Ovis aries: one gene and its partner. The protein of the gene in region 2 purifies or fractionates together with the protein of the main gene of each other region. This does not show direct contact. Links are inferred from orthologs where the notes say so. Each region holds a gene or a part of one and is shown on either strand. Other genes may lie near its edges. The genes, in order: CSNK2B and RPS6KA1.

The links.
Region 1: the proteins of RPS6KA1 (region 2) and CSNK2B purify together in Homo sapiens (affinity purification with mass spectrometry; 4 studies listed by BioGRID and IntAct, with this or other methods). This does not show direct contact. The link is inferred for Ovis aries from reciprocal best matches to the Homo sapiens genes RPS6KA1 and CSNK2B.

What each region holds. Positions count from the first base shown.
Region 1 is NC_056073.1:26,708,173-26,720,450, forward strand, and holds CSNK2B (casein kinase II subunit beta), read right to left. Parts: upstream 7,870-12,278; 5' UTR 7,745-7,869; intron 7,145-7,744; 5' UTR 7,134-7,144; coding exon 7,062-7,133; exon of another isoform or gene 6,345-7,061; coding exon 6,242-6,344; exon of another isoform or gene 5,734-6,241; coding exon 5,618-5,733; exon of another isoform or gene 5,171-5,617; coding exon 5,095-5,170; exon of another isoform or gene 4,959-5,094; coding exon 4,769-4,958; exon of another isoform or gene 4,314-4,768; coding exon 4,223-4,313; 3' UTR 4,083-4,222; downstream 1-4,082. Other genes in the region: LY6G5B (lymphocyte antigen 6 complex locus protein G5b), read right to left, coding at 2,245-2,648, 2,939-3,067, 3,200-3,260; GPANK1 (G patch domain and ankyrin repeat-containing protein 1), read left to right, coding at 9,469-10,073, 10,640-11,084. UniProt on the Homo sapiens protein: Regulatory subunit of casein kinase II/CK2.
Region 2 is NC_056055.1:240,327,346-240,339,625, forward strand, and holds the start of RPS6KA1 (ribosomal protein S6 kinase alpha-1), read right to left. Parts: upstream 5,832-12,280; 5' UTR 5,817-5,831; coding exon 5,601-5,816; intron 4,442-5,600; coding exon 4,397-4,441; intron 1-4,396. UniProt on the Homo sapiens protein: Serine/threonine-protein kinase that acts downstream of ERK (MAPK1/ERK2 and MAPK3/ERK1) signaling and mediates mitogenic and stress-induced activation of the transcription factors CREB1, ETV1/ER81 and NR4A1/NUR77, regulates translation through RPS6 and EIF4B phosphorylation, and mediates cellular proliferation, survival, and differentiation by modulating mTOR signaling and repressing pro-apoptotic function of BAD and DAPK1.

The DNA of each region.
Region 1 (12,278 bases), on a different chromosome or scaffold from region 2:
ACCCAGAGCTGGGTGGGGACTGGCCAGGAGGTCCATGGGGGTATGCTGGTGGGAGTGGAGCTGTGAAAGAACCAGTCCCAGGAAGGAGAGGGTAGGGAAGGAGTTCTGTGGAGAGATGCTAAGGCCTAGTGTCCTCTCTAATCCCAGGCTAATTTCCTTTTTCAAGGATCACGGTAACTCACCTCAATTTCGGGCCTTGGGCTTCTCAGCCTCTAAGGCTGCCTTCCAGTTTGACTTGCTAGAGCTGTACAGACCTGGGCCTTTGACGTATACTGAAGTCAGAGGTCATGGGGGAAAAGATGCAGGCAAAAGAGGAACATAGTGGCTTGTACCTCTTTACCTCCAACTGCTTCCTGATCTAGAAACAAACATTGGTTTCTCCCACCAGCACATAGGCAGTCACAGGGGCCACAGAAATCCAAGTGCAAAATGTTGTATAGGTAAGAGTATATCCTGTATGATGTCACTTTTACCAAGAACACGATGAAATTCAGGACAGTAGCTACTCCTGAGGGTTGGGACAGGGGAGGTTCTAAGAGGGGGCCCGAAGGCAGCTTTAGGTGCTGATAAAGGCCTTTATGCTAACTTGGCGAGTGGTATAACACAGGCGTGTAAGTTCACAAAAACCCATCTAAAAGTGTGCAAACATCTCTATGGCCAAAATGGTTTAAAACTAAATAGGGCAAAACCAGTGTGCTTTGTCTCTAAGGCATATCTGTTTTTGAGCCCATAACTTCTTTTGAGCCCGTAACTTCTATTTGTGTGCACACACTGATACACATTCTCTCAATCCTGACACACTATCTCTACTTTAGAGGTGACCATAGTGAGGCCGAGACCGATTTACCCAGGTGACAGAGGAGCTGGGGTTGGGCCTCCCAGCCACAGGGGTGCACTACTTTTCAGAACGTTTCATAATTCTGGTACTGGGTCACCAGATTCAGAGGGGTGGATACCTGGCTGTACTCACCTGCATGTCCTGGTGCTTCTTAATACCAGGCCTGGCTCAGAGCGGTATGTCCAGTATGTACTGAATGCATGGGGAAGGCTTGAGTTATGAAAATTCATTATTGCTTTCTGCATGCTTGCAGTTCTTCAAATTAAAATCAAAGGGCCTGCCTCTGCGGGCCTACCTGCGTACTCTGTGCTCCCTCACCTCTTTCACTTAAGACTTCCCACACAGCCGGTCCTGGCTGCCAGGACCCTGGAAAGAACGCAGGTGCCTCAGCTCCAGGGGACTCTGAGACGCAGACCTGTTGTGTTTGCGCTTGTGTTTTCGTGGTGGTTTTTTCCTTCCTCTTGTGGAAAAACCTGACATCACCTGTGAACTTCCTAGATTTTGGAGGGTATGTTTAAGGCTGGCAAGATTCATAATCTTCATACTTTGATCTCCAGCCGAGCAGAGGGTGGGATGGATGTGGGCTGTTTGAGGCAGGCCATTGAGGAAGCCACAAGGCCAAGTGTAGTGGGCAGGGCTCTGCAATGCTGTTTGAACCCCACGCCCAGTTACCTTTAACTTGTCTACACCTGACCACACCTGACCCTGCCCCCATCAAAAACATGACAAGGACTCTGGGCAGTTTGTTTATTGTGGAGGAGGACTAGGGAGTGCAGAACAAGGGACAGACCCCCTCCTCTCCCTGGGAATCTGTGCAAGTGGGTGTCATGGCTCAGGGATGTGAAGCGGAGCTGAGGAAGCCAGAGACTGGGAAAAGAGATGAGAGCAGGCAGCTGACCAGGCAGGAGCATGGCGGGTAGACAGTGAAGGAGGGGCGCCACAGTGCTCAGTCAGGAAACCTGCACGAAGTCCAGCTCTCACCCTTTCTGATGCAAGTTCAGTCTGGCACAGACTGAACTAGCTAGGTATAGCAGAGTGGAAACAGCCAGACTGAGAGAGATCAGGAAGATGGGGGGTGGGGTGGGGGTGATGGGACATTCAGTTAACAGGACAGTGTCGAGAAAACCATTGTGCCTTTACCCAGGTCAGCCTAGGCAGAATCCGCATTTGAGATTATATTCTAGGTGGTCGAAGGGCTCTGGGTACACTGCCAACTGCTTTTTTCGGGGAGGAGACGAGACCAAAACCATACGGACACCGGAAGGACAAAGGAAAGGCAAAAGAAAGGAAGACTGAGAACTTACAGACCCAAGAGTGGGAGTGTTCTGAGAAGACAATGCATGATGCTGGGGTGCCAGGAGTGAGACGCTAGACCAGACAGAAATCTATCTGCGCAGGGAAAGATGTCAGGGACCAGCCCAGGGAAGAGTCAAAAGTCCAGAACTGTTGAGGAACAGGTATATGCTGCGCAGGTCAGCAATGGACAAACTCAGATTCACGGGTGGGCCAGCCAGGGGGTCCAGGCCTTCAGAAGGCTCCTCCCCAGCAGGGAAGCTGGGCAGGGGCAGTGACAGGTTCAGGGTTTGGTAGAACCACAGGATCTGGGACTGAGACAGGGGCAGAGCCAGGGACCTGTCAGGGGGCTCAGGCAAGGCACTCTGGAGCTGGGGACTGTACCAGGAGTTGCAGTAGTCATACTGGCAGCACTGGGCCGAGTACCAGTACTCTGAGATGTAGGTGGGGAGGTTTTCTTGGCAGCGGTAGGAATTGTGTTGTCCACAGCCTCGGATTAAGAAGCGAGCTTTGTTCTCTAGAGAAGAAGGGACAACTAATAACCCTTGTTGCCTCCCACAGTCACCAGAACTGGTACCCCTTTCACAGACCTGCCCATCCCTCACCTAGACCCAATTTCCTTTCCAGACTCCTGCAGAAGAGGCCAGAAGAAATTAGCTTAATCGGCTCCCCAGAACTCCAGACCCCTCCCCTACCAGAAACCTCCATCTCCTTAGACCTCAGGCCCCAAGCAGCCCTCATTTACAAGAGGAGACAATGCCATAGGCTGTCCTGCCAGTGGCCCCTTCCCTGCCTGACTCAACTCACCATGGTTGATGCTGATCACCATGCACGGGGATGAGCTGCTGATAGTGCACTTCTCTGAGCCTGAAATGCATCCTACAGCAGGATTTTCTAAGAGGCAGAGGTGGCAGGTCCGGACTTCAGAAACAGGAGCTGGGGAAGCGGAAGACACGGATGGTGGTGTTGGCCCACTCCAAGTTCCCTGCCTTGCAACATCCCGCTCATCCACCGCCACCCTCTCCCTGTACTCAGCCACCCCTCCTGCCCTGCCCCTGCTCCACTTACCCTTTCCCACCGTGAAGCCCACCATGACCAGTGCACCTATAAGCATGTGGGCCTTCATCATGGACTTCTGGGGAGAGGGGCATTCCCCGAGGGGTGCCTAGAAACCCCGTGACCACACTCCTCGAGCCTGAACTGCAAGGTGGTTTTGACAGGTAGTCTGGGCAGGAGCTGCTGTAGGTACAAAGCTATACTCCTCCCTGGGGCAGGAAGCAATTAGCTTGGCAGGAGAACATGTCCTCACCCACCTGGTCTGGTTCCTGAATGTGGGAGCGGCAGCCCAGACAGGTGCAATATCTGGGCCCCAATCCAGCAGTCTACTTTTGTCCTGAGTGTCCCTCAAAGATCTGTTCCTGCCCCTCCAGGGTCCATGGATTAGTTTCATTCTCTGGTACCATCTGCCATCCTCCCTACACAACAGGGCCAGTCCCTATTGTTCTGGGAGAAACTTTAACCAGGAACCCAGTGACCTTCATCCTTCTGAGATGAGCATGTCTCAGCTTCCCCAGGAGGGGGCACATAGACACAAAACAGCAAATTCTGGACCTTGAACCTCTTCTCCCCACCCCTTACAGTTCAGTTTATTTTGGGACCACTTTCTTTATAAAACTCAAAGTGATGTTGATTACATCCCCTAAACAGCCAACTGCAGGCAACACAAAAAGAGCAAATATTTCTCCAGTCTTTGAAATCCGATTTCTGTCTTTGCCTCGTGATCTCCGTACATCCCTACACCCAGTCCTAAAAACATCACCCAAATCTACTGGGTACAAATCTGTGCTGGTTTTCCACTTGAAGAGAGTGGGCTGAGCCAGGAGGGCTCCTGGGGCCCAGCATACCATTACCCGTGCTTCCCCAACCCCAAACACCAGCCAATCAGCCCATGGCCTTTTCTTCCACTTTATTTCATATTCCCACCACAATAATGACTCCTTTAATTTAAACTAAAAACCATAGAGGGTTCCTGAAATTGTGGCAGCAAAGGAATGAAAGTGTCAAAGACCGAGGGACAGGTGGGGTGGGGAATCAGCGAATCGTCTTCACTGGGCTCTTGAAGTTGCTGGCGGCTTGGAGCTGCAGCTGGTAAGCCATTGGATGGATCTTGAAACCGTAAAGCCTGGGTTGGGGCAGAGGTGAGAGAGGAAGCACAGTGAGCCCCATCCTGGCCTGCCAGTGGCCTGCATTCCCCCCTACCCCAGTTTCTTCATGGGCCTGCTCAGTACTTCAAGGCAGCGGTTCCCCAACTTCTCCCTTTAAGAATATTTGGAAATGTATTTTAAATATCTATTAAAACTCAAATTCAAAGCTACAAATATGTGTCTGTACATATATACATGAGTATATACATGGCAGTACTTGTTTTAATATAAAAGCTGAACTTTCTTTTTCTACACCAGAGCAAAAATGATACTGCAGGAAGATCATACACTTCAACCGTGGCTCTGAGAATTTCCTAGCGAAAGTTGAGCACACAAAATGGCAGCAAGGCTAGCTACTGCCTCATCCTCCCTTCTTTCTGGGGGATCCAAGGCACTTCTTTCGACCCTTGGTGACTCTGTCCCTGCTCCCCACCTGGGCACAAACTGGTTGGCGGGCCTCTTGGGCCGGTACTCGGGGTGCACCATGAAGAGCATGTGAGGGAAACCGGTGCCGAAGTAGGCGCCATCCGTGTGGTGGTGCCTCGATGACTTGGGTGTGTACACGTCCATGCACTTGGGGCAGTAGAGCTTCACCATGGCCTCACCTGGGATGTCTGAAAGGCCTGGGAGACAGCCAGACTCAGCAGGCCAGGTTACCCAAGCCTGCCCAACCTCCCTCCTGGACTCAGGCCCCAACCTGCTGAGCCCCAACTCCATCCCAGCCTGCCATGGCCCTCCTTTCCCTTTCCCAACACTCACCGATGGGAAGCATTGGCTGGTTCTCACAGTACACACGGGGACAGTATCCAAAGTCTCCCTGCTGGTACTTTTCCAACTGATGTGAATGAAATTGAAGGAGTTGGTGGGTAGGTATGAAGAAAAGAGGCAACCCCCTCCTCAGCCCAATCCACATCACTGTGTCCCCAACTCCTTCTGCCTCTTAATGTCCAGAGGCCCCTTCTCTGGCTCAGATGGGCCTTCAGACTCCCCTGCTTCCTTTCATCCAGTCAGGCAGTCTGAAGATCATCAGACATTCACTGCTTATTCCCTGAGGAAGAGGCAGTCTACAACTTTCTGCTCTAGGTCACATCTCCCTCCCCCAAAACACTCCCTTCACCTCAACCCTCAATCAGGTCTTAACCCCTAGGCCCAGATTCTGGGGTTCTTTCCCCTCTTCTCAGCTAGATTCCGTGACAAGGCTGAAACGAGTGACTTCTTGCTGATGGAAACTCTGCTTCCCTGTTGCCTCTGAAGGAACCGAGTAGGAGTAGAGAGGCCTCACCATCTGGGCGATGCCACGGTTGGTGAGGATATAGCGGGCGTGGATCAATCCATAGAGCATTTCGGCTGCTTGCTCAATCAGGTCACTCTGGTTGGGGTTGTCTTCCAGCTCCTCATCTGAAACATGGCACCAGCCAAATGCAACCACTTGTCTTACAACTTTTTAAGGTGCCCTGCCTACTCCCAGGGGCTGCTGGCTCTTCAGCCCAGCACCCAACTTGGAGCCTCACCCCACCCACAGCCTGGGCCTCTGCCCCTTCCACCAACCCAAGGGTTTCTTTCCATCCCTCTCAGCCTCTGCTTCCTTCTCTTTTTTAATAAATAAATGCAAAGATGTCAACACAGAAGATAGAACTCTAACCTGGAAGGGGCAAGGAAGAAGATAACACCCATGGAGAAACTAGCATTTTCGATAAGTGCTAAGTTATAGGATCAGAGTATGAGAACAAGTGTAGAAGTCACAAAATTAGGCAAGAGTGAGGTATGGAATCAAAATGAAGTAAAGGATTTGGGGTTAAAAGGGTTAGAGAACCAAAAGGAAATTTAGAAATTCATGAAGCAGATAAACAAGGTGTGAATAGGAAAAAAACAGCACACACACAAAACAACCCTGAGGGTGTCTCACCAGGCTCCAGGTCCAAGATCATGTCTAAAGCTTGTCGATAGTGAGGCACCTGTTCATTGAGTCCAGTGAGATTGAATTTGTCCTGGATATAGTCTTCATCCACCTGTCAGGACGTGAAGTCAAAAGGAAACCCAAAGCAGAATCCTCAGCTTTGACCTGGGCAGGGTGCTCTAACTCGTGCCTTATCTTCAACACAACTGCTTCATTCCCTTTGTTCCACACTCCCAACTCAGCAGAAGTACTTGAACCTCTCTCCCTAGTTCGTGTATACTGCCCACCCAGAAGAGGTCTGGCTTTTTTCTCCTAAACATAAGCAATCCCCTCCTTACAGAGGCAGTCCTTTCAAGATCCCTGTCCTGATTCCTGTTCCTAGCTCTAGGAATCAGTTTTGGCCTCTCCTGAGGGGCAGCTGGCTCTCTGAGGAAGGTGGGGGCTGAACAGCTTGGATTCTGAAGTCAGTTACACTCCCTTATGTTAACACACAGCCATGCTATAAAACATTTTAACGTGAAGTGTTTTAATTCTCCTAATAGCTACCAGAAATACATACTATCAGTACTTCCCTGGTAAAAAAAAAAAAAAAAAAAAAAAACAACACAGGTTGACAAGTCCAACATTAGGCTGTTGGAGGGTGGCAGGGTTGACTTGGGGTCTCAGTCTTGACCCTTCACCACAAGTTAGAGAGCGCTACTAAGGAGACTCCTCCTTGACAAGAGTTTTTACTAAAGTATGTAAGAGAAGTGTGTGGAAGCTTTATGTGCAGGAGATTATGTGGCCAGATTACATGTGGAGGTGGATGGTAGGGTTGAGGAGAACTCACCTCACAGAAGAATTCATTGCCACGGAGCCCACAGAACCAAGAAATCCAGGACACCTCCTCTGAGCTGCTCATCTTCACGTCGGCTAGAGACAGAAGAGTATAAGCCTAAGCTCTCCCTCCCAACCTCTGGTATCCTCACTCCTCCCACACTTTGCCCTCAAACCATGGAAGAATTTGGGGCTACCCTTTTCTTAAAGAACCCGAGACTGGAGCACGTCTCTCTAGCTCCTCTTATTTACATTCCAGCCCCTTTTCACTGAGATTACATAGAGAAATTCTTCGGGGTCCACCAGCTGTGAGAAACCGACAGGTCTTGACCCCACTAGTCCTACCTCCATCCCTGACGCTCCTGAAAGCCAGGCCCCTCTCTCCTCCGTGTCAACTCCGGTAGGGCCGTGGCTCAAGCTCCCTACCCCCGCAAGTCTCTGGCCCCATTCTCAAGGGTTCCGAAGTTTATCCTTTCCAAGCAAGAGCTGGGCCCTCCTTTTCTCATGGCCTATAGGTGGTGGTCAGGTCCGTTTCATAGAAGTCCCGACATCCCGCCTCCACCCTTCGGGCCACCTCTCCTACCCTCGGTGCCGGACCGGGTCATTTCCTTTCCCACCCCCACATCAAGACGCGGAGACCCCATGTGCCGCGCCCAGGGACAGGGGACATGGCGCGGCGACGACCACCACACTCACCGACTGGACGGGGACTGGGACCGGGGGACGGGGAGGGGAAGGGGAGTTTCTGCTTCCAAAGACCGCGACGACGGCTACAACGCAGGCCGCGGACCCGACCGCGGCAGGCGAAGTGGGGTGGGGGGAGTGGAAACTGGGGAGGGTGGGGAAGAGGGCAACGCGCAAGTGCTTAGAGTTAGGAGCCGCGGTGCATGCCGGGAAATGGAGTCCTTGGGAAGAAGAAACTGACGAAACTAGGGAAAAGCGAACTACAAATCCCAGGATGACCCGCGCACGACCCTGGTGTCACGAGGCCCCGGGGGAGGGGTACGCTGGGGGCGGGGCGCAGCAGGGCACTGCGAGCCGCCACCGGAAGCGGAAACTCAGTACCGCGTTCTGGGCCAGGTAGCCTGGGAAATATAGTCGTGTGATTCCGGGGACTGCAGGGCCATGGAGGGGAGGGGGTGGGCCGGGAGAGGAACTAGGCTGGCTGGTTGCTTCTTGCTTCTCCCATCAAACAGCGAGCCTCAGGCCTCGGCGAGACTTTGCTGCCCGGGGCATTGACCTCATCCCCAGCCAGCCAGCCCTCCTGGCCCTTATTGCCTTGCTCCTTGGAGTCAGCCCGCCAAGGAGACCCGCGACGGGGCCCTTGTTTCATCCGGGGTTCGCGCAGCGGAGGCGGGAGGTGAGGCCGGGTTCCATGCTGAGGGTCCTGGGTAGGGTGTACTGGGATGAGCTGAGCGGTGTGAGAACCAGGACGGCCCCGTGGGCTAACCTGAGGTGGTGCCAGCCATTCTGCTGCTTGTCCCCTTGCACTTCTCCATTTCCTCTTAGGGCTTGAACGGGGCTGCTGTGGGCGCTAAATGCGACCTTCGAACCCTGGTCAGAGTAATGGTGAGGGGCTGCGTGACGTTATTTCATTTCAGGGTTTCTGGGCATTCTCCGCCTCAGAGCCTTTTTTAACCCTGAGAGTGATTTCCCAGGTCCAGAAAATGAGCTCGGAGCGGGGGCCACGTTGAGGGAGGAGGCGAAGGGCATTGTGGGGGCGTTATGTAAAAACAGAACCCCAACCGACGGATCTTTCTCAGTCCTCGCGCTGCCCCGGCACGTGGTGCGTTGTGCTTCTGCTATGGAAACATTCCAGGGCGGGAAAAACCCGGCGCTAGCGCGCGCCTGCACCCTCAGGTGTTTTGTTTTGTTTTGTTTTGTTTCCCCGGCCACGCATGCGTCTTTGTGCCCTGTGATTATTTGTCGACTCCTTTGCTTAGAGTAGCGCCATTTTGCAGTACGGAAGCTATAAAGCGACACAGACTGGAACCTCTTCCTGAAAGCTGCTTCCTGCTTCCGGAGACGTGTCGCGTTTGTTTTTGTTTGGGAAGAACTTACCCTGAAATAGGAAGATTTAAAGAGCCAATTTGATTGTTTTTCTTAATGGTATGTTTTACGCTGTGATAAAGTTGTCTCAGAGAGGCTGGTATTGTTGGTGCGGATGGAGGTAGGGGCGGAGCGCACGGTCTGGGCAACTGTCTTACGGAGACTTCTTTCTTACCTTTATTGAGGGGCATTGTCTGTTACTGACCCTACAGGGTCCCAGGTTGTGGGGTCACTTTTGGGTTGGGAGGGGATTTTTGACGCTAAGGATACTTTTTGTTTATCTCATTAGGTGTCTGGAACTGGCTCTGGTCGCTGCAGGACCACCAGGGGCTTGGCTTCCTAGTCTCATTTTCCTAGATTTCCCAAAAGCCATGTCTGGGTCTTCCCTCATTAACTTTACCCCAGCCACTGATTCCAGTGATCTGTGGAAAGATGGGCAGCTGCAATCACAGCCTGAAGAGCTGGAGCCCATCCTGGAGGGGGCTGCAGCCCGGGCTTTTTACGAAGCCTTAATTGAAGATGAGAGCAGCACCCCTGAAACCCAGAGAGCTCAGCCTGGGCCTGCCAGGAAGAGGAAGAAAAGAAGAATGACGAGGGAGACTGCAGCAGGAGCAGCAGGAGGACATGGACAAAGGAGATCCCTTGACACAAAGGACAAGACGACCCAGCAGATACTGAGGGCAGCCCAGGAGGGGGACCTGGCAAAACTAAAAAGGCTGTTGGATCCCCGTGAGGCAGGGGGAGCTGGAGGGAATATCAATGCTCGGGATGCTTTCTGGTGGACCCCTCTGATGTGTGCCGCCCGAGCAGGCCAGGGGGCAGCTGTGCGCTATCTCCTGGGCCGTGGGGCTGCCTGGGTAGGGGTCTGTGAGCTGGGGGGCAGAGATGCTGCTCAGTTGGCTGAAGAAGCAGGTTTCCCTGAGGTGGCCCGCATGGTCAGAGAGAGCCCTGGAGAGACAAGGAGTCCAGAGAACCGGTGAGGGAAGCCTTATCTTTTAATATTGTTTAAACTTTTAAATCTATTTTTGTTTTATTGAAGCATAATTCAAGTATATAAATTACATATGTACAATATAGCAATTCAGGATTTTTTAAAGTGATATTCTGTTTATAGTCATTGTAAAATATCTGCTAAATTTCTGTGTTGTACACACTCTCTGGGTTTAAATCCTGATTGTACTTCTTGGGCAAGCAACCTAGCGTCCATGTGGCTCAGTTTTCCTATCTAAGAAATTAGACTATACTTCTTATAGGGTTGTTAGGGTTAATTAAATGGGTTAATATACATAAAATACTAGAACAGTGCTTGTATTTAATAGCATAGTAAGCACTGTACAAATGTTAACTATAGTAATTATTATTTCCCACCCAAGAACGTTGTGAGGCCTTAACCATTCCTTCAGGTCCACTGTTGCTAACTGGGAAGGAAAGACAATTTGTTTCTTGGCAGAGATACTGGAAGGACCTTGTCCCACCCTGCCACCCACCTCTGAGGCCTAAACCCTTGTGTTACCCTTAACCTTTCTCTTTTTTTCTCTCCAGGTCCCGATCCCCCTCCCCCCAGTACTGTGAGACTTGTGATGCCCACTTTCAAGACTCTAACCACTGTACATCCACTGCTCACCTGCTGTCGCTGTCCCGGGATCTCCGGCCCCCCATCCTACCACTTGGGGTCTCTACCTCCAGCCCAGGCTTCAAGCTGCTGCTGAGGGGGGGCTGGGAGCCTGGAATGGGGCTAGGACCCCGGGGTGAGGGCCGTGCCAACCCTATCCCCACTGTCCTCAAGAGGGACCAGGAGGGGTTAGGCTACAGACCAGCACCTCAGCCCCGAGTTACACATTTCCCAGCTCGGGATATACGGGCAGTGGCTGGGAGGGAGAGAGCCCCTAGGGTGACCACACTGAACCGCAGGGAGGAGAAAAGGCAGGAAGAGAAGGACAAGGCCTGGGAGCGGGATCTGCGGACATACATGAACCTCGAGTTCTGACTTGGGCAAGTTCTGACCTTGGTGTGTTGCTGAAGTCTGAACTTGGGCCCCGAACTTAGACACTTGGGCTTCTACTTCCTGATGTCTGCCCAGGTTCCACACCTTCTGGTTTTGATTAGTGGACTCTGCCTTCAGTAGAAAGAAGCCAAAAGTTGAGAAATAAAATCAAGCTTTTCTCCGTCTTGGTGTTTTATTCACTTCTGGAAGCTGTTGCAGGGAAGCCAAATGAGACGGGACCACATGAAATTCTACCAGAACCAGAAGAGGCAGCTCCTCTACGTGGCCTGATAGGGTTGCCTCTGCCAGTCTGGTTCACTTCTAGTCCCCAGCCACTGCCCTTAGTGCCCCATCTATTTTCAACCCCTGAACCAGGAATTACCCATCTCTATGCAAGTCTATGCAGAGCTTCCCTGGTGGCTCAGATGGTAAAGAGTCTGCCAGCAATTCAGGAGACCCAGGCTTGATCCCTGGGTTGGAAGATCCCCGCAAGAAGGAAATGGCAACCCAGTCCAGTGTTCTAGCCTGGAGAACCCCATGGACAGAGAAGCCTGGTGGGCTACGTTCATGGGGTCGCCAAGAGTCAGGCATGATTGAGCGACTAACACTTTCATGCAAGTTTGACCTCCCACAGAAAGCACCCTCTGTCCACTCTAGCCAATTCAATCACTGATTTCACAAGTTTGTATACTATGTGCTATGAATGGGAATGAGACAAGCCCAATCTTAAGGCTGCTCGCACCTGTAGGAGACACGATGTGATAAAAAGAATGCATGGTGATGGGGAAGTCAGGAAAGGCTCAGAAATGATCACGGGTGGCGTCTTGCAGGAAGAGGGCAGTGTGATACGAAGACCAAAGATGTAGCTTGTAGGCTGTTAGCTGAGCTGGAACCAGAACTCTGGCCTCCCAAAGCTACACTTTAAGCCAAGGTTCTTCATTTTGATACCCGAAAACTCCTAAGGGCAGGAAGCACATCCTGTTTGTCTACACTTGTCTTCCCCATACTTCCTCTCCTGCTTCTCCTGCCTCATACCAGGTGCCAGGCATATGAAGTGCCCACTGTTGTCAAATCCAAGAGGTAAACATCTGTGCATGGAGGAGCAAGGAAGGGCTACTCAAGCCCCAAGCCTCCTCTCAGCTTTCTCTTCTGGAAAAGCCTTTCATGAAATCGTGAACTAGAAGAGTGGAGCGGGAT
Region 2 (12,280 bases):
GCAGCTGGAGAGAAGCCCAGAGCGCGCCCCCCGCTCCCCGCCGCCCCCGCTACCACACTCCCTGCCTGATCCCTGGCCTGTAGGGTCCCCATCCCAGGCCTCCCTCCAGCAGCTGCAGCCCAAGCCCACCTGCTGATCTCTGGCCCTAACGGACATCAACAGCCCCGCCCCCAGCTGGCAGCATCTGCAGGGCCTCCCAGGGGTGCCCCCTCTCATGGGGCAAACATCCCCAGACACCTCTCCCGGCATGCCTCTCGGCAGTGGGTCCACAGTTCCCAGGCCTCCTTGATAGGCGAGCTGGCCTTGGGCCCGAGGCCAGGACTGGTATGCAGTGACAATGAGAATTGTGCCTCTTAACTGAGTATTTATTGCAGGAAGCCATTCTTTCCTTCAGCTTTTATTGGTGTGCATTCTGCCAGGCTCGGGTGTCCTACTCCAAGGGAAGTGCTGTCATCCCATTCCAGAGAGGAGGAAACCAGACTCAGACAGAAAGTGACTTGCCCAAGGCCACATGGCCAGAAAGGCGGACAGCTCGGGACAAAATCGAAGCCTACAGGCCGAAGCATTTCATCATCACCCTCCTTGCGAGGCTGCCAGCCTGCATCCTCTCTGGACATTACTCACAGCTATGGGCCCCCGGCTGTGTCCCCAGACCAGTAGCCAGACACTAGGAGGCGCACGTGTTAAGGAAGTCTTCAGCCTTGTCCTCAGGCAGCTCCCCGAAACACACAATAACGACACGGAAGCATGGTGTGCAACAGCGCAGGCAAAGAGCTGGAGGTGCCCACAGGTTCTCACTACCTGCCTGGGGTAAGATCTGGGAAGATGCGACAGTCTAGCTGGACCCTGAAGATGAACAGGAGCTGGCCAAGCAGAGAGGAGGAAAAAAGACACTCCATATAGAGAAAGACCAGCACGGAAAAGAGGCCAGGAGGGCAGGGTGGGAAGTTAAGAACCGTCTACTCATTTGCTCCCGTGCAACCCTCACTCCCTATCTAAGCCTCAGTTTCTTCTGTAAAATGTTCGCACCCTCAAAAGGTTGTTTTGAGAAGCAAAAATGGGCCACAAAGATAAAGGGATGTGGTAAACAGAACTCCCTGAACAGCAAGGGCTTTCTTACTGCGGCAGGGGCTCCTCTGGGCAGGCTGAAGGGACAGAGTCCATGGGTCTCAGGTGTTGAGAGGGTGGAGGGTGAGGGAGCCTTCCCCGGCCAGTCCCAGGGAAATTCCCCCCCAACACCTGAGACTCCCAAGGCTCCCCGAAGTCCACAATCACATCCTGCCTGAGCTCCAGCCAGGGGAGCATGAGGGATCCGGGAGGGATCAGGGTTTCATAAACAGGAAGAGAGGAGGGGAGGGGGAGAGACGCTCAGCTCTCAAAATAGACCTGCAGGCGCTTCCAAGGGGTCCAGCTCCGGAGATAGCCAGGGAGGGGGCCTGGGGTGCCCAGTCCACCTCCAGGAAGGGAGGGAGGGTGAATGGAGCCCCAGCATGCCTGAAGGACCAGGTGCACACGGGGAGCTCTCATCCTAGACTGCAGTCCTCTCTACAGCTGCTAAAACCCCAATCCTTTCTTCTGCCTGAAACGGATCAAATAAACAAGCATTAAACACCAATATGATGTCTCAAACACTGCTGGATGCTCCAATTTATGCACATCACGTTCCCTCCTTCTGGGTGGCCCTGACGGGTGGACTCTATTCTCCTTTTACAGAAGAGGCATCTGAGCCTCCGAGGGGTAAAACAACTCGCCCAAGGTCAGCTGGCAAATAAGAAAGAGGAGCAGAATTTTGAACTCAGAGAGCCTGCCTCTCCTCCAAGTCAGGCCTCTCCTCCCCCTGGAAGGCCCACTTCTCTCTCCAGCTGCCCAAATCCCGGCTTTCGAGGCCCAGGCAAACACCAGCTCTGCGGGGAAGGTGACCTGGTGCCCTACAGCCCACGTTTCCTCTTCTGCCACACACAGCAGTGCCCGTCCATCTGGTCCACCCTCAACCTTGAGAGTGGATGCTACTGGGTTCCCTGAGACGTGCTCATCTCATCATGCCCCAGAGAGGCAGGTAGGAAGGTGGTATATTTCACTGCCCACTGTCAGGCCTGGCACTGAATGGAGGTTCTATGTGCCCACAGCCTGTTCCTCCCCATCACTGCACCCACCACACAGCTTTCTTGTCACCACCCTTCCCCAATGCTGAGAACTCCCTGAGGGTGGGGTGTTGACTTCATTTTGGGATTCCCAGTGCCATGAACATGTGATGATGCAAAAGATAAACCAGCTCCTTCCACTGCACAAAGCGATGAGGTTCTGACCACAGGCTGAGCGCCCCCTGGTGTGTTGAGCCCAAAAGTGGGCACTGGGGATGCTACAAGATTCTGCAGCAACAGAGAAGGTGAACGAGCAGGTGCCGAGTAATGACGGAAACTGTGCTCACGGGGACGCAGTGCTCCTCCTCTTCAGCACTCAGTGTGTCTCCTGGGCTGGGAGGAATGTGGGTTCTGTGGTCAAGCAAGACCTGACTTCATTGCCCATTAGCGATCTGACCTAGGGCCTCAACTTTCTCATCTGTAAAATGGGGAGAGTAACAGTTTCTACCTCTGGGGATGTTATGAGAACCAAATGCAAAGCTCCTGGTATGGCACTTTCTCTCCCTTAACGTAGCATTCAAGGCTCTCCCTGCCCCATCCACGTCCAGCTTCATCTCCCTTCCCACCCCAGGATCTGCTCCAGAAGCAGGAAGGAATCACAGACTTGGGATCAAGAGTAGTTTGTCCACCTGGGTAAGTGCTTGTCTTCTCTTAACCAGCCCCTCTAGCTCTGAGGTGAGAAGCTGTACTCACCACCAGTTCCCTCAAAGCTGCAGGCACCTTTGCAACCCCTAGAACTACAGCCCCAAGATCTGAACATCTGGACCTTCACTGGAGACCTACAGTCCCTTCATTACTAGGCAACCAGGAGCAGCTACTTGGTGGGAAGAGATTCTCCCACAGGAGGCTGAGACATGGGGCTGAGACAAGTCAAGGGGCTCAGTCCACATGACTCGGCCTGGCCTTTGGTGACCCAAGGTTGCCATAGTAACAAAAAGAGGAGGGGTGGGAGCCTACTTCTGTTGGCCTGCCCTACCCCAGGAAACTCGGCTCCCTTATCTTAGGAGGCTGAGTCAAGACAAACATCAGGACCAGCCCTCAGTCTATCTCAAAGGTCAGGCTTATGGTCTGGTACCTAAGCAGACCCAGGCCAGAAGGGCGCGGCCACTAACAGGCAATGGAGCTGAGCAACACGGCCAGGCACTCAGGCTGCCAGGACTAAAGCTACTGTGTGCCAGGCAGCTGCTCTTCTATCTGTTCTTCACGTCACTCCTGAGAGGTAGGAGGCAGGTACCATTATTCCCATTTTACTGCTGAGGAAACCAGACTCAGAAGGGAGAAGCTTCAGGTCAAATGGCGATGGTGGAGGCAGGACCAGAACTCAGGTAGGCTCTACCGCCAGAACTCAGGCCCTGTCCTGCCTGGTGGCTTCCACAGCCCCTCCCCAGCCAGCAGCTCTGCGACCTCACAACGCCTTGAGAACTGGGTGAGGCCATTCCCAGCACGGCGATGAGAAAGCCCAGGCCAGACTGTCCCCCAGCCTCATAGTGCTGTCAACACACAAAACCAGCAACAGGCCCTGGGGGCTGAAGGGATAGACCCAAGGGGAGCAGAGAGCGTAGAGCTGAGGGAGCCGGCCTGGGAGGGGGCCTGAGAAACGGCCTGTGTGCCCCACGCCAGGCACTGGGCCCTGGTGTGACTGGAGGCCACCAGGCTCCCTCCAGCACCAGGTGCCATGCCCTCGTCAGGCCCAGTGGACTTAAGCCTCTCCCATCACCCCTTCACCCTCTTAATACAGTCAGCCAAGCCACCACGAGTAAATAAGCAGAGGAAGCGTCCTGGTCTGGGGGACGGGTAAACCTGAGTTCTAGCCTGGCTTCTGACCCTGTCTGGGCCATAGTCCACTCCCCTGAGGAACCGGAAGGCTGAAGCAAGTAATCCTGACATACGGGGCTGCCTCGAGCATTAGGTGGGCCCAGAGAAGGACTTGGGCTTCCCTGGTGGCTCAGATGGTAAAGAATCCACCTTCAACACGCAGTTCAATCCCTGGGTTGGGGAGATCCCTTGGAGAAGGGAACGGCTACCCACTCTAGTATTCTGGCCTGGAGAATCCCATGGACTGTATAGTCCACGGGGTTGCAAAGAGTGGGATATGACTGAGTGACTTTCACTTTCAGAGAAGGAAGGCTGAGCTGGGCCAGGGGGCCTCACACCTGGGCGGGACAAGGTCAGTGCCTCCTTCCTTGTCCACTCCAGGCAAACAGTCACTCCACCCCTGACGATCCCTAGCTCCGGTGCTAGGGCCTGGCCCTTACCTTGGATGGCTGAAGCCCAGCTTCCTCCCCTGAGGCTTGTCCATTCTGGAAAAGAGAGGAGAGAGTGGGGAACACTGTCAGAACTTACCAGAGTGGCACAAAGCAAAGACAGACCCTATGGGGCGCCCCAGCCCTTGGATGCTCCCAGTGGCTAGAGGGGCCCTGGAGGTGGGGGCGGGAGTTCTGGGAGGGGACAGGCCTCAAGCCTTCTGCAATCGCCCCAACTCAGGTAGCCCGCTTTGGGCACCCCTCCCATGTTCTCTGCCTAGAAAACATCTCATCTTTGAAGGTCCGGCTCAAATGCCATCTCCTCCCAGTGAGAAGGAAAGGACTGTGGGTGTGTGCCAACTAACCAACTCAAGAGGCCTCAGTTTCCCAATCCGTAACATGGGTATTTACATCCACCTCCTAGAGTTGATGCAAGGGCTGAAGGACATAAAGTCTGGGAGAGTGTCCAGCCCAGAAATGCTCTGGCCCTGCCTGCTCTGGGACCCCTCTCCATCCTTGCAGAATCACTGCTACTCCCTATGAACCTTCATTTTACCACTTATCACAATGCAGGGACTACGGACTCGTGGGCCGTGCGTGCTAAGTCACTTCAACTGTGTCCAACTCTTCGCAACCCCATGAACTGTAGCCTGCCAGGCTACTCCAGACAAGAGTATTGGAGTGGGTTGCCATTCCCTTCTCCAGGAATCTTCCCACCCAGGGACTGAACTCATGTCTCTTAGGTCTCCTGCATTGGCAGGCAGGTTCTTTACCTGGGAGCCCCTCCTAATAAACGGGAAGTCCTGGGAGGCAGAGATGAGGCTTTTGGTGCTAACAGCTGCTCTCTTCCGCGCCCCTGCTGCACGCCGGCACTGGCTTTGGTACCTCACATCTGTGGCACCATTAAACCCTCCTGACCTGGGAGGTAGGCCCGGGTCCCATTTGGCAGAGAAAGAAACTGAGGCGCAGAGAAGCCTAGTGACGGCACCTAAGCCACAATGCTGCTCAGCGGGGATTCAAAATCCGGTCTCTGACACCAGGAGGTGCTCAAGAGACTGAGGAAGAGGAGCCCAGCGCCCAGCCAGGGCAACAGAGATGCAGGCATGGCAGCTCACCCCTGCACAGTCCTCCAGACCCCAGACTTCACCCTCCGCTGGGTGCTGTCCACCCTGGGTATACCACCCCTTTCCTGTGTGATATGAAGTGAGTAACCTACCCCATCCGGGCCTTGGGAAGCTAAACGGAGCGGTCTCCAGCCCTCATGTGCAGCAAGAGTGTGGAGAGACCAGGAAGACCCAGGACTTTGGACCAGGGGCCAAGTCCACAGGGCAGCTGCAGTCTTGTTGGCAGCAGCAGGCACAGCTGTGCTTTCCCCATTATATAATCTCCCTGCTCCTGGAGCAGCACTCCCTCCCCGCCAGTCCCTGGACATCCTGCCCCTTGAACCCCCTTAATGCCCCTAATCCTCCCCAGGGGCCAGCGTTCTGAGGCTCCACCATACGTGTTCTCTCTCAGGAGCTTGGGGAGCAGGACTGGGTGGAACCAGGCCTGAGGGGAGGAGGAGGCGTGAGGCCTTCGTAGACGGAGTTCCACTTCACCCAGCATTGCAGACTCTTGACATAACTCTGGATGGTAACAAGGGCCTACACACCAGCCTCCCCCATTCTAAGCCCTCACCCTTCCTAAAACTCAACTGCAACCATTACATTTGAGTGACTCCCCTGGTCACTCACTTACTCCTTACTGAGAACTTTCTAGGTGCCAGGCCTCAAACTCTTCCACGGCTTCCCACTGCCTGTGGGATAAAGTCCCAGCTCCTTGGTATGGCATTCAAAGCCGTCATCTCCAGCTCCCACAGGTGATTAATGTGGGTTCTGGAATCTGACCTTGTGGGTTCAAATTCTGGTTTCTATCACCTGCATAACCCTGAGGTTACTGCATTTCTCAAAGCTTCAGTTTCCTCATCTGTGAAATGGGGATAAAAGTAATGTACCTCACTGGGTAGCTTTAAGAAGCAAGCAAAATAGTGTCTATAAAATAGATACATCCAGGGACGTCCCTGGTGGTCCAGTGGGCCAAGACTCTACACTCCCAAAGCAGGGGGGCCCAGGTTGGATCCCTGGTCAGATCCCACATGCCACAACTAAAGATCCCAAGTGCTACAACTAAGACCTGGGACAGCTAAATAAATATAAAAAAAAAAAAAAAAGTACAGCTTGCATATAACTGGTCCACAAACAATCACCATTATTACTATCCCGATTTTGGAGCTAAACTGAACAAGCTGAGACCCTGAACAGGCCAGCTTGTCCCCAAGCATTCGCACGGTGGCTCCTTCTACCAAGAAAGTCTTTCCTGCCCAGTCACTCCAGCACACTCCTGGTCTTCTTTGAGGACCTGGTTAAATGTCTTCTCCTCTGTCCATACAGCCTTAAGTCCTTTCCTCCCTCCTCTGGGCCTCACAGCACCGAGCAAACCTCAGATTAACTCAGGGAGGAGCCACGGCTTGTCCGGTATTGTCTCCTTGGCACCCAGCTCAGGGTCTGGCACATAGCCTGTCAAATGAAACCTCAAACCAGCAAAGCAAGCAAGGAGGCCAGAGTAGGTTCTATTCCTCCCATTTTTCAGATGAGGCTCAGAAGAGCTGAGTGACTTAACTGTGGCCTCTCTGTTAGCAGGTGACAGACATGGGGCTATGACCCAGAGTCACGTGAATCCCCAGTGAGAGACAGGAGGAGGTGGTGGGTGAACCCAGAGGTGGGCGCTTACAGGGCAGTATCTTGGAGGACTCAGGGAGCCTGTCTGGCTGCCTCCAGTCCCGGGGTCTGGCTTGGGTGCCATCCTCATGGAACGCCCAGGCCTGTAAGAGCTGATGCACAAGGTCTCTAGGGGGAAATGGGCGGCCCTAGCGAGAGCACTAGGAGTGCAGAGAGGACCACAGGTGACCTTCCCCTTGAAAGCCAGGGTCCTGGGAAGACAGGGCGCATCTGCCCTTCCGGACTGACTATTGTACAGAGGGTGGAAAGAGCACAGGTCTGCAGCCACAGAGACAGAGCCCCTGCTGCCGGCTCTGCCAGCCACTCGCTCTGAATGTGTCTGTCACATTACTTCTCGAGCCTCGGTCTCCTCACCTGTACTAGGCGGGCAGGTCTGTCTTGTTCACAGTGGCACCCTGCTGGTTGGAGAAGTACTTGCCGCATGGTAAGTGCTCAATAAACACTTGCTGAATGAATGAATGAGGACAATGATACTGACCTTGCAGAATACTGAATGGAAGACCTCGTCTATGAGTCTACAGGAAAGGCCTTCTGGCCCCTAAGAGGGTGGAGACTCTCTCCTCCCGCTTCCTCAGAGAGCAATACTCATGGGCACAGCGACCGAGGGCCCCCAGGCCATTGCGCCCCCTCCCCAGAGGTCAGAGATGGGTTCCAATAAGCATCCTTCCTTCCCACCCAAGCCACTCTGTCTTGGGAAAAAAAGCGTCCGGGGCAGTGTCTGGAGAAGCTGGGCAGCAGATGGACAAAGACAGCACGTGCCCCATAGGCAGGAAGCAGCCCCAGGAGTTGGGTTCAGAGCCCAGCACTGGCAACTCTGCCCGCTGCTGGAAGCTGGGGGCCAGGTGCCAGGGCTGGCGGGAACTACTAGCCCTCAGCCAAGGCTGGACAGGAGAGTGTGCCAACATCCGGAGCCTCTCCTGGAGTACCTTCCACCTGGCCGGCTTGATCCCAGCTCTTGCCTGTCTTTAAGTCTCCCCCCTACTAGGTAGAAGACAGCGAGAGATCTGGATTCTAATTCTGACTCTGACATTAATTCGCAGGCCAGGTCCCTCTGAGTTCAGTTGTTCCATATGATGACAGAGGTAATACTCCCTACCCTGAGAAGCTGTTTGCAGAATTATTTGACTTTAATAAGGCCACCCTGGTGGAGTGCGGTGGACAGCACAGAGCAAAGCTCTGCACAGCAAGGCTGGGCCTGCGGCCACGGTTACTGAGCCCAGCAGGGCCAGGGGAAGGCCCCGGCAGGATCCTCACCCACACTTCCAGTGGGGTGGCTCCACCTGGGCCACACCCCAGACAAGGCCCTGCCTCTGAGCAGCCCATTCTCGGCAGCTTCACAGGGAGGGCAGATCCCAGGCCTCTGCCAAATGCCCTGCCCAGCCCCTCGGCCTGCCTCCCTCCCGGCCAGGAGCCTGTACCTGCAGGTCAGGGTGCCGTATCACTTACGTGTCACCTGGGCTGAGAACAGCAAGGCCCTGTTCTCCAGTAAGAACCTGCACCCAACCCGCGCCCTGGCCGCCCCATGGCTCCTGTTACCCAAACAATAACACCGAGTCGCCTGGCACTTCCATGGAGTGGGGAGGAGGAAAATGGGCAGCACTCCTTAGGCCTCCGTACCCTCTCAGGCCCAGAAAGCAGAGGCCAGAACCCAGCCCTGGCCAGTGGAGAAACAGAGGTCCAGAGAGGCTATGGACTGACTGAGGGTCACACAGCAAATTCAAGGTGAAGCTCCTGGAGAAATCACAGCCCCCCTAAACCAAGGAAATAAGCCTGCCTTTTTTTCCTCTCAAAGTTCAGGTGGAGTAGGACTAAAACTGAATTGAGTTTCCTGTTTAAACCTGGTCCCTGCCTCAGGATTTCCCAAAGAGAAGCAGGAAGCAGTGCCCTGGACTGGGAATTGAATTTCTGGGTGTCTGCCTTCCCAACTAGTATAACCCACAGTAAGTCCCTCCCTGGCCTCTCCCAGTCCACCTTCCTCTAGGGAGGCCTAGGTCTCAAGTGTGTGCCAGGACAAAGGAATTTACCTCTGAGCGCCGCCCCCAACCCCTTGTGCCCCAGTCCTAGAGGGTGGGCAGCCCGTGGCTAGGGGCTGCAGAGGGCCGTGTTCCTCAGTTCGGAGGGTGAGTCAGCGGGAGAACTTCTGAGCTGTGCAGGGCCCGTAAAAACCCCATGGCAGGGATCCCAGAGCAATTTACTCCAAATTGCGCCTTCAGGTTGGTTACCTAATCTTGCCGCGCCCACCCTCCAATAGCCAGTGTCAGCGGTGACCATCCCTTTAAAGGGGCAGCACACTCCGGGTGCTGGGGACCCAGGATCCTCACTCAGCTCCCAACCAGCAGCCCTGAGGGGCAAGGCACTTGGTGGTTGCCCCAGGTAAGAGAGGGCAGAGGAGGGGATCTAAGTGGGGAGGGGTCCAAGCCCCAGCCAGAAGAAAATCACTTTGGGTCTCAGGCTCTCTGAGGTTTCCATCATCTCCCTCATATCCCCACATACCCCTGGAAAGGCAGTATCACCCACTGTCCTTCCCATAATGAGGCTGAGGGGAAAGTTTTCTCCATCTGCCAGTTCAAGGGCTTGACCTTGACCCTGGGGGGCACAGGAAGAGCAGGCCTTCTGCAAGGTTAGGGCCTAAACCACAGTATCCTCAGGAGGCAAAAGTTGCTTTTGGGAGAAGCTAGGCAGGCAAAGGCCAAATTCCCTAGAGGCCCAACCCTTCCTATGGGAGGGGGCAGGAACCAAGGACCTCCTCATCTCCAGGAATAATTTTCTCAAAGGTCTAAGGACTTTTCCCCATTCTTTTCTCTCCAGCCTGGGAGAGGTGACACAGGCGTCCTCTGACCCTAGCCTGGAGCAAAGAAAACCAAGGGTTTCAGTCCCAGACGGGCAGAGTCACCCCAAATTCCACAACTGCGACGATCAAGAAGGAAATCCTTCTAAGGTCAGCAGCGGAGACGCCGGGAGCCCTTGGGGTAGGGCCGCTGTGAGACATCAAGAAGTTGGCAGGGGGCGCGGGGGAGGGGGCTCCCATGACCCTCGTCTCGTGGAATCCAAGACATCTGGCATCCCAGCCCAGGTCCGTCTGCCCTAATGAAGGAACCTCCGACGGCTCCGGGTACAGGTCCCAGGTGTGTGTGGGGTGAGGCGGGGGTCAGATCTAAGCGCAGCACAGGATTCGCTCTCCGGGGTAAGGGGCTTCCTCGGGGCTTGGCAGAAAGGTCCCTCGCGCACACACACACGGGGCATTAGGGGGTGGAGCCGGAGACGAGGCTGGAGACCGGAGGGCACTCGCGCCCTCGCGGGCGCCCGCCAGGCTACAGCGGCGCCGCGAGCCGCCCCGCCCCTGCGGGGACTCGGGCTTGCCGGCCGCCGGCGCCCGTCCCCCGCCCAGCTCACTCACCTCCGGGTCCAGCGGCACCAGCTCCATGAGCGGCCAGGGCTCCTTGAGCTGGGCGAGCGGCATCGCGCCGCCGCCGGGCCGCCCGTGCTCCACCGGCGGCCAGAGCCGCGCCGCCTCCTGGGTTCTGAGGTCCCACGCTCAGCGGCCCCAGCGCCCCCTTCCTCCCCGCCGAGACCCTCTTGCTCTGGCAGGGCCGTCCGCCGCCGCCGCCGCGGCACTAGCACTTCGGCTCCCTCCGTCACCCGGCGCCGCCGCGCCCATTGGCTACCTGCGCGAGGGGGCGGGGACAGCGAAGCCCCGCCCCAGCCCCCGCGGCGCGGCATTCCCAGGGAGGACCCCCGCCTCCGCCACGCCGGGAGTGAGGGCCCCGCCTCCACCGTGAGCCCCGGGCCCACGCTCCCCTCCACCCAGGAGAGGCCCTCCTGGCTCCTCCCTCCCAAGCCCGGTCCCCGGGGCCCAAACCGCCCCACACTCAGCTCATTTGGAATAGCTCCCCAGATGCCCCCTCTCTCTCCAGCGGGCCTGTACCCCTTTATTCCCTTTACCTCCCCTATCTCCCCTCAAACCACCGCCGCCCCTCCCCCCCACTCCCAGTCACACCGAATGTCCTAGGCCTGACCCAGGGAGAAGCTGGAAAAGGAAAGGAGCCTGAGCCGTACTCCCCTCGTTGCGAGGCCCTAGGACACTCTCCGCATCCCACCCTCCCACACCCCCAAAGCGACAGTGGGATCCCCTGCGCCCCAGCTCCGGGCAGGGTACGGATCTTCTTTCGCCACCATCAGGGCCCACAGTGCCTCCAGACTGATATCTTAATACGTGTGCTTTGCTCTTTTCAAGCCATGTCTCTCCAGAATCTCTCCAGCTGCAAACCTGGCTCCGGGCTGATTTGGGTTTGTGCCCCCTCTGGGGAGGCTCCCAGGATCCACCGACACTTGGGCTGCACTTGTAGTAAGAGGCCAGGGAGAGGGATTCCCCCTGGAGAGACTCAGCCTCCATCTAAAGCGGTGTTAGGAGTCCAGGTGTGGTGAGATTCACCCCTGGAAGAGTGTAGAGATGGGCTTGCGGGTTTCAGGGAGGGGGAAGAATGGCCATTTGCAAAGCTGTTCTAAGGCAGGATTGTTTATCAGAGGTCTTCTTCTGATCAGGCTTCACCAACTTATGACCTCCCGGTTTACACGTCATAAAACAGCTTCAGAAAGTCACCCTCGGGTGACTTACCCGAGGTCACACAGCAGGTTGGGAACGGATTATAGGACCTTAAAAAAAGTCAATAAAGGTTTCTCCTGAATCCACATGTTCCCATTATTTCATGATTTTCCAAGGGTAGCACCTCAACTGTTGAAGTGAATTGAGTTTTGAGTGGAAAAGACTTTGGAACCTAACAAATTTGGGTTGGAATCCTGTCCTTGCTACATCCTTAACGTTGGAAAACTCCTTTCGTGTCCCTAAACCTGTTTCCTTATCTGTAAAAAGGGAATCATGATTCCAATCTTTCTGGTATATCCTGAGGACTAGATTTAATTCAGTAAATATTTATGGGTATATATTACATGCCAGGGCCTCTTCTTGAGCATGTACTGTAAACCAGCCCCACTCCTAGCAATGAACAAAAGAAAATCCGTGTTCTCATGGAGTTTACATTTGGTCTGGTGTGCTTAGATGAATAATCACAGCTAACATTAACACAGCACTTACCAGGGACCAGGTACTGTTCTAAACACT